Linked DNA regions of Macaca mulatta. The protein of the gene in region 2 interacts with the protein of the main gene of each other region in a pairwise test. Links are inferred from orthologs where the notes say so. Each region holds a gene or a part of one and is shown on either strand. Other genes may lie near its edges. The genes, in order: PHOSPHO2, NAB2 and PHF1.

Region 1 (2,615 bases), on a different chromosome or scaffold from region 2:
CTTTTTAATGATAGCCGTTCTGACTAGTATACGATGGTATCTCATTGTGGCTTTAGTTTGCATTTCTCTAATGATCAGTGATGTTGAGCTTTTTTTTTTCTTTCATATATTTCTTGGGCACATGTATTGTCTTCTTTCAAGAATTGTCTGTTTGTGTCCTTTCCCCACTTCTTAATGGGGCTGTTTGTTTTTTCTTGTAAATTTGTTTAAGTTCCTTAACAAGGAACTACATGATTCTTACCAAAAAGGATTGTGGGCAGATTTTATGAGCAGAGTCTTTAAATATTTGGGAGCTAAAGGTGTAATATAAAATGAAAAGCGCAGTGACATCAATGCCTTTCACTTCAGGGATGGTATAATTTTTCAACTTTATAATAATTGCTGGATATTAGACCTTTGTCAGATGGATAAATTGCAAAAATTTTCTCCCATTCTCTAAGTTGTCTGTTTACTCTGTTGATAGTTTCTTTTGCTGTGCAGAAGCTCTTTAGTTTAATTAGATACCATTTGTCAATTTTTGCTTTTGTTGCATTTGCTTTTGGCATCTTTGTCATGAAATCTTTGCCTGTGCTGTGTCCTGAATGGTATCACCTAGATTTTCTTCTAGGTTTTTTTATAGTTTGGGTTTTACACTTAAGTCTTTAATCCACCTTGAGTTGATTTTTGTATATGGTGTAAAGAAGGGGTCCAGTTTCAGTTTTCTGCATATGGCTAGCCAGCTATCCTAGCACCATTATTAAATAGGGAATCCTTTCCCCACTTGTTTTTGTTAGCAAATACCTTTTTTAAAAAATTATTTTACATCTTGCAAGATTTCATGGTATGTTAAATTTGTTCAGGATTTTGGGTAGTACACAGAGAATCCTTTATACATGACCTATTATTTAATATGAGGATTGTAAATATTTTAATCTAATAAAATAAGTGTGGTTTGATTGATAATGTGATCATAGTAAGAATGCCTTTTTTTTCTTTCTTATAACTCCTATAAGAAACACACCCCCAGGAACACAATAATACTATGAATGTCCTTTTTATATATTTTGTTTTCCACTTAAAATACTCAAATATGAACTTTGCTTCTTAGAGAAAAGTGGTTAGGTAGTGGTCTCGAAGTGCTTAATCACTTTGTTTATATTCCTTCTTTTAACATATTAACATTTAGTTATGTTTATTAAATAAGTGTTTTAGTTAGATATGTAAACAGAGTTTGTTTAGAGAATAATATTTTTTCTTTTTCAGGATAATCCATATCTACTTCTGGAACCATGAAAATTTTGCTAGTTTTTGACTTTGACAATACGATCATAGATGACAATAGTGACACTTGGATTGTACAATGTGCTCCCAACAAAAAACTTCCTATTGAACTACGTGATTCTTATCAAAAAGGATTTTGGACAGAATTTATGGGCAGAGTCTTTAAGTATTTGGGAGATAAAGGTGTAAGAGAACATGAAATGAAAAGAGCAGTGACATCATTGCCTTTCACTCCAGGGATGGTGGAACTCTTCAACTTTATAAGAAAGAATAAGGATAAATTTGACTGCATTATTATTTCAGATTCAAATTCGGTCTTCATAGATTGGGTTTTAAAAGCTGCCAGTTTTCATGATGTATTTGATAAAGTGTTTACAAATCCAGCAGCTTTTAATAGCAGTGGTCATCTCACTGTGGAAAATTATCATACTCATTCTTGCAATAGATGCCCAAAGAATCTTTGCAAAAAGGTAGTTTTGATAGAATTTGTAGATAAACAGTTACAACAGGGAGTGAATTATACACAAATTGTTTATATTGGTGATGGTGGAAATGATGTCTGTCCAGTCACCTTTTTAAAGAATGATGATGTTGCCATGCCACGGAAAGGATATACCTTACAGAAAACTCTTTCCAGAATGTCTCAAAATCTTGAGCCTATGGAATATTCTGTTGTAGTTTGGTCCTCAGGTGTTGATATAATTTCTCATTTACAATTTCTAATAAAGGATTAATTAATATGCCAGCAATTGCAAAGTGTATCACTTAAGATTAGGTTCAGCAGCATAAAACTAAAACCCCAAATACCAGAGGCTTAAAAAAAACAGACAGAGAATTTTTTTTTCCTCTCACATAAAAGAATTCCAGAGGTAAGTATTTCAAGTTGCTGTATTAGTCTACCAACCTCAGCACTTGGCATTCAACCCTTGATCCAAGGTTGCTGGTGAAGCTCTAGCCCTCACAGCAGCACTCTGGCCAGCAAGGAGGGCAGTGAGAAAGTTACATTCCCTGTCTAAAGAAATTTCCCAGAAGTTGTACCCAATACTTCTATTGAAGTATCATTGGCCAAATTTTGTCATAATGCCTTACTTGTAAATAGCAAAGAAAGATGGAAAATACAGCTTTCATTCCAGGTAGTCACGTGCCCAGGAAAAGTTGGGGGAAAAAGTACAGAATTGAGGTAGGTACAGCTAGTGGTCTCCACTAAAGGTGGTTGATAGGTTATATTTTTAAATTTATTTCTCGAGCAAGTAAGCATATTTTATTCTTTTAGATATTCCTCCTCTTTTGAGACAAGGTCTCTGTCACCTAGCCTGGATTGCAGTGACTTGATCTTCGCACACTGCAGCCCCCAA
Region 2 (4,308 bases):
CCCTCAGAAGTGCGGACAGAGGAGAGGGGCGGGGCGGGGCTCAGGTTTCGGACTAGGGGAAACCTCACCTGTGGCCAGTCCGCTGGCTTCCCTTTGTCCCCCACCAGCCCCCCTTTCCCTGGGGCTTAGAGCCTTTGGGCCGGGCCCTCAGAGCCCCCGCCTCCCCCAACAGCCCTCCCAGCCGTGGGCGGGAGTGCAATGCGAACCAGATGGGGCTAGGAGAAACCAAAGGGGGAGACGGTGGTGGGTTGCAGGAGGTGGGGGACTAAGCTCCTTCAAGGCGCTCCTCCCTCCAGCTCCGCCGCAGGAAGTCACGTCGGAGGCTCCCGACCTCTTATCTTCCACTTGACTCTCGGGCGAGGTCCCTAATAGACGGCCCCAGGAAGGGTATCGTCTTTGTCTCAGCCTTGCCACACAAAATTCCCAAGCAGGGCCTCATCCTCAGCAAACAGAGGACAAGTGGAGGAATCCCTGCCTGACCTACGCGCTGACAAAACCCGATGCGTCTAATCAACACGCGCACCTAAGTGGTGGCATGCAGCATAACCCCCCCATCCCTGTTTCCCAAACTTTTCCAGGCTAGCATGGAGGCCTCGGTTTCTGAAAGCTGCCCCCTCAGATTACTCCACTGGGGGGCTGGGGAGGGGCGCGGGGATATCTAGGGGATCCCTGCAGAACCCCACGCTCTCAGGCCTGCCTTAAGTGCACACATATTATGGGAGTCAGATGCACACACAGGAGGAGCCGCACACCCCAGCCTTCGCGAACTTTTCCCGACTGACTCCTAACATTCACAGGTCCAGCACCACAAGGCCTGAGTGTGGGCAACGGGCGTCCCCGTAGTTGTTTAGGCGCGTGTGCACGTCCGTGCGCTTCTTTGTGTACTTGTGCGTGGTTGTGAAACTCCTCTCAACTCGGAGGAGTGGGGGAGACTAGGAATGTCGCCGGCGGGGCGCTCACGTGGGTACGTGGGCGCCAAGAGGGCCGGCTGTGCATCCGGCGTGGGCGGCACAGAGCGACCTCGCCCCGCCCGCTGGGTCCCCAAGCCCGCCCTCCACAGCCGGGTCTCGGTCACCTCGGTCCCCAATTCGGCGCCTCGGCTCTGAATCCCCGCCCCCGCCTCCTGCTCCACACCCCCTCCCCCCAGTCTCCGCCTCTCCCAGTCTCTAAGCCGCGGCGTCTCCGCGGCCGAGAGGCCCTGGTGCCCGCCCCCCGGCCCCCGCCCCCACCCCCGCCCCCGGCTCTGCCCACGCCCTCCGCCCGCCAGCCCGGCAGCCAGCGCAGCGCCGGGCCTCGCTCCCCGTGCGTCCTGCGGGGGCGGAGGCGCGGAGAGGCGGCGAGCGCAGCCGGGGAGGGTGGGGGGGGCAGAGGCACAGACAGAGGCGCGGAGGCTCGGAGAGAGAAGACGTGGAGGGAGGGACAGAGCCTGGACAGCGGTGGACACGGCATCGTGCGCGGGGCAGAGTGCAGCACGCAGCAGGCGCCGAGCGCTGGGCACCGAGAAGAGCAACCCGGGTGGTCTCCGGCCGTCCATGCACAGAGCGCCTTCCCCCACAGCCGAGCAGCCGCCGGGCGGAGGGGAGAGCGCCCGCCGGACCCTGCAGCCCAGACTCAAGTTAGTGGGCAAAGGGAGGCAGCGGGGAGTGGAGATGGGTGGAGCTGGACTTGGGAATGGGGTCCAGAGGGCGGAGGTCGAGGGGAGGACGTGGGGAAGCGGGACGGGGGTGGGGGGTGGAGACTGATGGAAAAGGGGGTGCGTCTTCGAATTAGGGGGCCCTGGGAGCAGGCAAACATCTGATGAAGCTGGATATGAAAGAGTAGTACCTAAATATCCATTCCTGGTTTACTCTGTGGGCTCTCTCTGGCCTAAGTGCCCCCTGTAAAGAACGTGGGAGCCTCCTAGCACCAGGGAATGCCCTGGAGCTCGAGCTGGCGTCAGTGCGGAAGGTGGGGGGACGCTCAGTTGCCTCAGTCCCTCGTTGGCACGGAGCGCGCGGGCCCCCGGGGTCCAGGAGAAGGCGGTGCCTTTGAGTTAAAGGACCATCAGCTGGGGGAAGGGGGGTGACGAGGGAGGCAGGGAGGCCTTAGGCAGTTCCTTCCTATATCTGTCCCTTTATGCACAGAGTGGGGAGGGGAGTTTCAGTGTGCAGCCCCTTCTGCAAGAGGCCTTGAGCCTCTCCCCTACTCCACTTGAAGATGCGGGTGGAAAATAAGGGAGAGGAGAGTAGGCGGGAGCCCCTGGGCGGTTTTCGCCCACAGACGCTACCACTGTGGGAGTGTGTGTGGGCGGAACGGCCCCGGAGCAGAACAATTGCGCCCCTCCCCCTGCCGCAGCCCCTGAGCTGAAGGAAAAGGCCGACTGAGGAAGTGGGGAGTGTCACTGCTAGGAGAGGGGCCACTGAGGAGCACTGGGCAGCCTGGAAGGGTGGAGAGGTCCTGGGGGGAGAGAGGAAGCGTGCTGGTTAAGAATGCTTAACCAGGCCATTCTTAACCAGGCCGGGCGCGGTGGTTCACGCCTGTAATCCCAGCACTTTGGGAGGCCAAGGCGGTTGGATCACGAGGTCAGGAATTCGAGACCACCCTGACCAACATGGTGAAATCCCGTCTCTACTAAAAATACAAAAATTAGCTGGGCGTGGTGGCGGGCGCCTGTAATCTCAGCTACTCAGGAGGCTGAGGCAGGAGAATCGCTTGAACCCAGGAGGCGGAGGTTGCCGTGATAGCGCCACTGCACTCCAACCTGGGTAACAGAGCGAGACTCTGTCTTAAAAAAAAAAATGCTTAATCCCTCGGAAAAGCTGAGCGGAGAAGAGCAAGGCACCACCTGGCTCACTGAGTGGGAAAGCCAGGGAAGGTGCCACACCCTCCCTCCTAGCCACCTGGGGCTGTGGCTACTTCACAGGGAATGAAGCTGGCCAGCAGCGTCCACTGTGCGGGAGACGGGTTCTACGTTCACTTTAGTATAGGCGACTTCACTTCAGTGTTGAGACTGCTGAGTGTTTAGGGTGGAAGGTGAGGATTGTGTTTTGGGGGAGAGGGAGGTCCAGCCATCCGAGGTCGGTGCTGGTTAGCCTCAGCGCTCAAGTTCTTCTTACCTCAGACCAAAAAGATAAAAGCTGAAGATAAGGTTTAAGAGGCTTCGACTCCTGCAGACACAGGGCACTGGTTTTTGGGGCTTCAGGCCAGTCTAGGACAGCACTGGCTTGTCCATGCCTCTGAGCAGTGCCTGATTCTCAGAGTCTGTACTCAGACCTGGGCACTGCGCAGGACAGCATCCAAATGAGAGAGGGGAAGAAAAGCAGGCAGGAAAGAGGGAACAATTGTTAGTGTGGGTTGGTACCCAGTAGGGGACTTGCACCGACTGCCTCTCTCTTGTGCCCCTCCTCAGGCCCAGTGCCCGAGCCATGGCACTGCCTCGGACGCTGGGGGAGCTGCAGCTGTACCGGGTCCTGCAGCGTGCCAACCTCCTTTCCTACTATGAGACCTTCATCCAGCAGGGAGGGGACGACGTGCAGCAGCTGTGTGAGGCGGGTGAGGAGGAGTTTCTGGAGATCATGGCACTTGTGGGCATGGCCACCAAGCCCCTCCATGTCCGGCGCCTGCAGAAGGCACTGAGAGAGTGGGCCACCAATCCAGGGCTCTTCAGTCAACCAGTGCCTGCTGTTCCCGTCTCCAGCATCCCGCTCTTCAAGATCTCTGAGACTGCGGGTACCCGGAAAGGGAGCATGAGCAATGGCCATGGCAGCCCTGGGGAAAAGGCAGGCAGTGCCCGCAGTTTTAGCCCCAAGAGCCCCCTTGAACTTGGAGAGAAGCTATCACCACTGCCTGGGGGACCTGGGGCAGGGGACCCCCGGATCTGGCCAGGCCGGAGCACTCCAGAGTCGGACGTTGGGGCAGGAGGAGAAGAGGAGGCTGGCTCGCCCCCCTTCTCCCCCCCTGCAGGGGGAGGAGTCCCTGAGGGGACTGGGGCTGGGGGGCTGGCAGCAGGTGGGACTGGGGGTGGACCAGACCGACTGGAGCCAGAGATGGTACGCATGGTGGTGGAAAGTGTGGAGAGGATCTTCCGGAGCTTCCCAAGGGGGGATGCTGGGGAGGTCACATCCCTGCTAAAGCTGAATAAGAAGCTGGCACGGAGCGTTGGGCACATCTTTGAGATGGATGATAACGACAGCCAGAAGGAAGAGGAGATCCGCAAATACAGCATCATCTATGGCCGTTTCGACTCTAAGCGGCGGGAGGGCAAGCAGCTCAGCCTGCACGAGGTGAGAACCCCCAGGCCTCCTAGGATTGACCTTGACTCCCGGGCCT
Region 3 (4,152 bases), on a different chromosome or scaffold from region 2:
GTGGGAGGGTTGCTGGCTGGTGCTTTATTGGGTAGAGGGCACCATGTCCCAGGGCTATCAAATAAAGAATAGTTGTTTTTTTTTTTTTAAATAAAGGTTTATCTGCCCAAGAAGGCAGATATTTTCATATCTGTAAAGGTGGGAGCTGTGATCTGTCCCCTCTGCCAAACGTTTGTGTGGGAGGCGGGAGCGGGGGCTGAGGGCTTGGGCTTTTCCCCTCCTTAGCTCACCGGTTCTGGACCATGGTCTGGATCATTTTCCCCTCTGCTAATACCCCCTCCCCCGTCCCTCACATCAGGGAGGCGTGCCCTCTAGCTATCCACGCCCTCTCCTTGGTCACTAGTTATCTAGATAAGTTTCACCCTTCCGCCGGCCACCCCAGCCCCAGGGAGCAACGTTCCTTTGGTGGGTGTCGGCAAATGGGGACCGGACCCCGGAGTCCAGAGGCGGGGCTAGCGCGCGCTCCCAAACTGCTGGCTCTTTCCTCCCGCCCTTTCCCTGCCTTTCCGTTCGAACGGCTGGGGCTCTGCCCGCTCGCTGCCCATTGGCTGGCTCTCGGTGGCGTCACCGCCTCGGGTCCTTGCCCCCTTCGTCTTTGCGCCAGCCCTGGAAGCACGGGGCGGGACGTACCCGGGAAGCGGCGCGCACGCCCGCCGACTCCCTCTCGCCAACCGCCGACGGCCGCCGCCCCGTGAAGGAGGAGCTCAGTCCTCCCAGGTGCCGCGCGCAGGAGGGGACACGCGTGCGCAAAAGGGCGGCGGGTGGGGCGCGACTCGCCACGGGGAGGGCGGGGCTGGGGCTAACGGCGAGTGGAGGGCGGGGCGCGCGAGGGAGGAGGGCGTGGTGGGGGCATCGAGAAGGGTGAATGGAGGGCGGGGCCGTGAACTGGGGCCGGGGGGCGGGACTTGGAGTGACCATGGGGGGTGGGGCAGTTAACGGATGTGGCATGGGGCGGGGGACCAGTCCGGAGGCGCGCTGCCGGGAGGGGGGATTCCCTCGTGCCCCAAGGGCGAGTCTCAGGTCGGAGGAAGGGGCTGAGGGGATTCCCTCTCCCACCGGGTCCGACTCTTTGCTTCCCAAGCCGTGGAGGGCCTGCCTCTTCCTCGGCACCCTCCAGGCCTGTCGGAGGTGAGGGAGGTGGGGTGAGGTGGTGCCCGCCCCCCCCTCCGGCTCCTCCTTCCCCCCAGTCCTCCCCTCCCACCACCCTCCCCCCCAACCGGTCCGTCCCTCCCCTCCCTCCCCCCCGCCGCCTCCTCCTCCTGCCGCTGCTGCTGCTTTGGCTGCTGCGTCATACGCCCCAGAGCCGCCGGGACGGAGGGGCTGGGCCTGGGGACCCCCCGGCCTCCGCCTGCACAACCCCCCCACGCCCGGACGTGCCCTCTCCGCGCGGGGGACTCGCCTAGGTCTCCTACGTCTGCCCCTGCCCGGCTCCTGGCGGCCCCAGCTGTCACCGGTAAGGAGGCGGCAGGAGGCGCCGGTGGGGGGCAGGGAGCCGGGGGTCGGCGCGGGGCGCGGGCGGGAGAGCCTCGCCGCCTTGGCCTCGGGTCCGAGCTGGGCCGACTCAAGTCCCTTCTCGGACTTGCGGTCCTGGGGAGTGGAGACCAGGACTGGGACACGCCCCCCTCCCGGGGCACTCGGAGAAGTTGTCTAACCCGGGGGCAGGGAGCCCCGAATTTGAGGGTGACCTGACATAACCTGGCACCAGGATGATTGTTCTTAATGAGACACGCAGGCCTGGGGAGACAGCCGTTTCTGCTCTGGAAAACATCTCCAGAAAAGGTCCCAAAACACATCTCTGGGCAACAGGACACCCTAATTATGATACCTCTAAACTGAGTGGTAGCCTTTGCTTCTACAACCGTAATTTCTCCTAAAATTTCAAGGCCAGGATATAATATCCCAGGAGAGCTCTGGAAGCTGGGAAACTAGCAACTAGGTTTGGGGTTGGGGGGAGGGCAGTTACCGTGAGGAGAGCCAGTCACTAGAGTTGAAAGAGGACTCAAGAAGCTGGTGATGGGTGCCTGGTGGTTTCCTATCCAGGTGTCTCAGGGATTTGGAGATGGGGGCACAGATCCTTCATTCTTGACGGCAAAATAGGCAAAGAAAATGGGGAAGTTGGCCGGGCGCGGTGGCTCACGCCTGTAATCCCAACACTTTGGGAAGCTGAGGTGGGTGGATCATGAGGTCAGGAGTTCGAGACCAGTTTGGCCAACATGGCCAACACCCCCTCTCTACTAAAAATACAAAAAATAGCCAGGCGTGGTGGTGGGTAGACCTTTAATCCCACCTACTTGGGAGGCTGAGGCAGGAGAATTGCCTGAACCCAGGAGGTGATGGTTGCAGTGAGCCAAGATTGTCCAGCCTGGGCGACAGAGCAAAACTCCATCTCAGAAAAAAAAAATGGGGAAGCTTTCTGAGCATTCATAACCTTCTCCTCCCCATTTCTTTTCTGGCTAGGCCCCCCCAGGATGCAATGGCGCAGCCCCCCCGGCTGAGCCGCTCTGGTACCTCCTCACTTTGGGACCCAGCTTCTCCTGCTCCCACCTCTGGCCCCAGGCCTCGACTTTGGGAGGGTCAAGATGTGCTGGCCAGATGGACTGATGGGCTGCTATACTTGGGTACCATCAAAAAGGTAAGACCTTCTACCTCTGATCTTTTTCCTATTTCCCTTATCTAATTCTGGTTCCCATTTCATTCTCTTTGCTCACCCATTCCAGGTGGACAGTGCTAGAGAGGTGTGTCTGGTCCAGTTTGAGGATGATTCGCAGTTTCTGGTTCTATGGAAAGACATTAGCCCTGGTAAGACTAGAGACCTGAGATTGCACATCCCATGGAAAACAAACCTGGCTTAGAGGGGCAGAAAGAGACTTAAGGGCAGGCCCCGTGACACTGTGTTCTCTCACAGCTGCCCTCCCTGGGGAGGAACTCCTCTGTTGTGTCTGTCGCTCTGAGACTGTGGTCCCTGGGAACCGGCTGGTCAGCTGTGAGAAGTGTCGCCATGGTGAGAGGGCAGGTCACCTGAATGGTCTAGCTTGCTCTTCCCTCCAGGATGGTCCTTATGTCACCTGTCGTGGCCTTAGTCCCCAAGCCACTGCTCTGGCCAGGCTGCTTAGCCCTATCTTAGTCCTCATCCCCTTTCAGCCCAGGGAGAAGCAGCCATGGAAAGGGGTGGTGTAACCTTTGCAAGCAGAGGATGATTTAACTGCATCCTTTTCTAACCATATGACCTTGGACAAGTCCCTTAACCTCTAGGAGCCTCAGTTCCCTGACTCGTAAAATAAGGATCATGTACCCTCTCATCAAGAACATGGTCAAGGATTAAATGAGATGGGTAAAGACTATTCCTGTCCCAATACCAAGCACACACAGGTATGCAATAAGTGGTCTACTATTAACATTATCACTCTTCAGCTTATCACCAGGACTGCCATGTTCCCAGGGCCCCAGCCCCTGGAGAGGGAGAGGGCACATCCTGGGTATGCCGCCAGTGTGTCTTTGCGATCGCCACCAAGGTAAAGGCACTTCCCTGTTACCCCTTCCTGTGAGAGCCTCCCATCCACATCCTCTCCCAAGCCTTTTCCTCTCCCCACCCCTCTGAAGTCATCCACCTGTCCTGTCTCTGCAGAGGGGAGGTGCCCTGAAGAAGGGCCCCTATGCCCGGGCCATGCTGGGTATGAAGCTCTCTCTGCCATATGGACTGAAGGGGCTGGACTGGGATGCTGGACATCTGAGCAACCGACAGCAGAGTTACTGTTACTGTGGTGGCCCTGGGGAGTGAGTAATGAGGGGGAGCAGACTGTGGAATGAATGATGTGGTGGTGCCTCCCAGGAAATGAAGGAAAAAGAACAGGATGAGGGTAGCACTCAGGGGGATGGGAGGTAAGTTTAGGGTTTGGGGCAGTTATGGGGAAGGGGGTTTCTGGAGGCCAGAAGTCCTATGTTCCCCCTCAGGTGGAACCTGAAAATGCTGCAGTGCCGGAGCTGCCTGCAGTGGTTCCATGAGGCCTGCACCCAGTGTCTGAGCAAGCCCCTCCTCTATGGGGACAGGTGAGACCAAGGCAGACTCTCCAGAAGCCAAGGTGTTCTCTTCGTGCTCCACCCTCAGTTCCCATGCCTGTCTCCACTCCAGTCTCTTCCCAATATCTGCAGCAT

Evidence for each region.
Region 1: the proteins of NAB2 (region 2) and PHOSPHO2 interact in binary tests that used the Homo sapiens proteins (3 or more experiments, as listed by UniProt). The two-hybrid records come from large-scale screens. The link is inferred for Macaca mulatta from reciprocal best matches to the Homo sapiens genes NAB2 and PHOSPHO2.
Region 3: the proteins of NAB2 (region 2) and PHF1 interact in binary tests that used the Homo sapiens proteins (3 or more experiments, as listed by UniProt). The two-hybrid records come from large-scale screens. The link is inferred for Macaca mulatta from reciprocal best matches to the Homo sapiens genes NAB2 and PHF1.

What each region holds. Positions count from the first base shown.
Region 1 is NC_133417.1:74,621,879-74,624,493, forward strand, and holds the end of PHOSPHO2 (pyridoxal phosphate phosphatase PHOSPHO2), read left to right. Parts: intron 1-1,242; 5' UTR 1,243-1,268; coding exon 1,269-1,994; 3' UTR 1,995-2,009; downstream 2,010-2,615. UniProt on the Homo sapiens protein: Phosphatase that has high activity toward pyridoxal 5'-phosphate (PLP).
Region 2 is NC_133416.1:64,244,408-64,248,715, forward strand, and holds the start of NAB2 (NGFI-A-binding protein 2), read left to right. Parts: upstream 1-1,498; 5' UTR 1,499-1,532; coding exon 1,533-1,615; exon of another isoform or gene 1,616-1,616; intron 1,617-3,388; coding exon 3,389-4,262; intron 4,263-4,308. UniProt on the Homo sapiens protein: Acts as a transcriptional repressor for zinc finger transcription factors EGR1 and EGR2. Isoform 2 lacks repression ability.
Region 3 is NC_133409.1:148,867,503-148,871,654, reverse strand, and holds the start of PHF1 (PHD finger protein 1), read left to right. Parts: upstream 1-1,239; 5' UTR 1,240-1,453; intron 1,454-2,457; 5' UTR 2,458-2,473; coding exon 2,474-2,632; intron 2,633-2,717; coding exon 2,718-2,799; intron 2,800-2,905; coding exon 2,906-3,001; exon of another isoform or gene 3,002-3,327; coding exon of another isoform or gene 3,328-3,331; intron 3,332-3,411; coding exon 3,412-3,512; intron 3,513-3,625; coding exon 3,626-3,774; intron 3,775-3,951; coding exon 3,952-4,047; intron 4,048-4,152. UniProt on the Homo sapiens protein: Polycomb group (PcG) that specifically binds histone H3 trimethylated at 'Lys-36' (H3K36me3) and recruits the PRC2 complex. Involved in DNA damage response and is recruited at double-strand breaks (DSBs).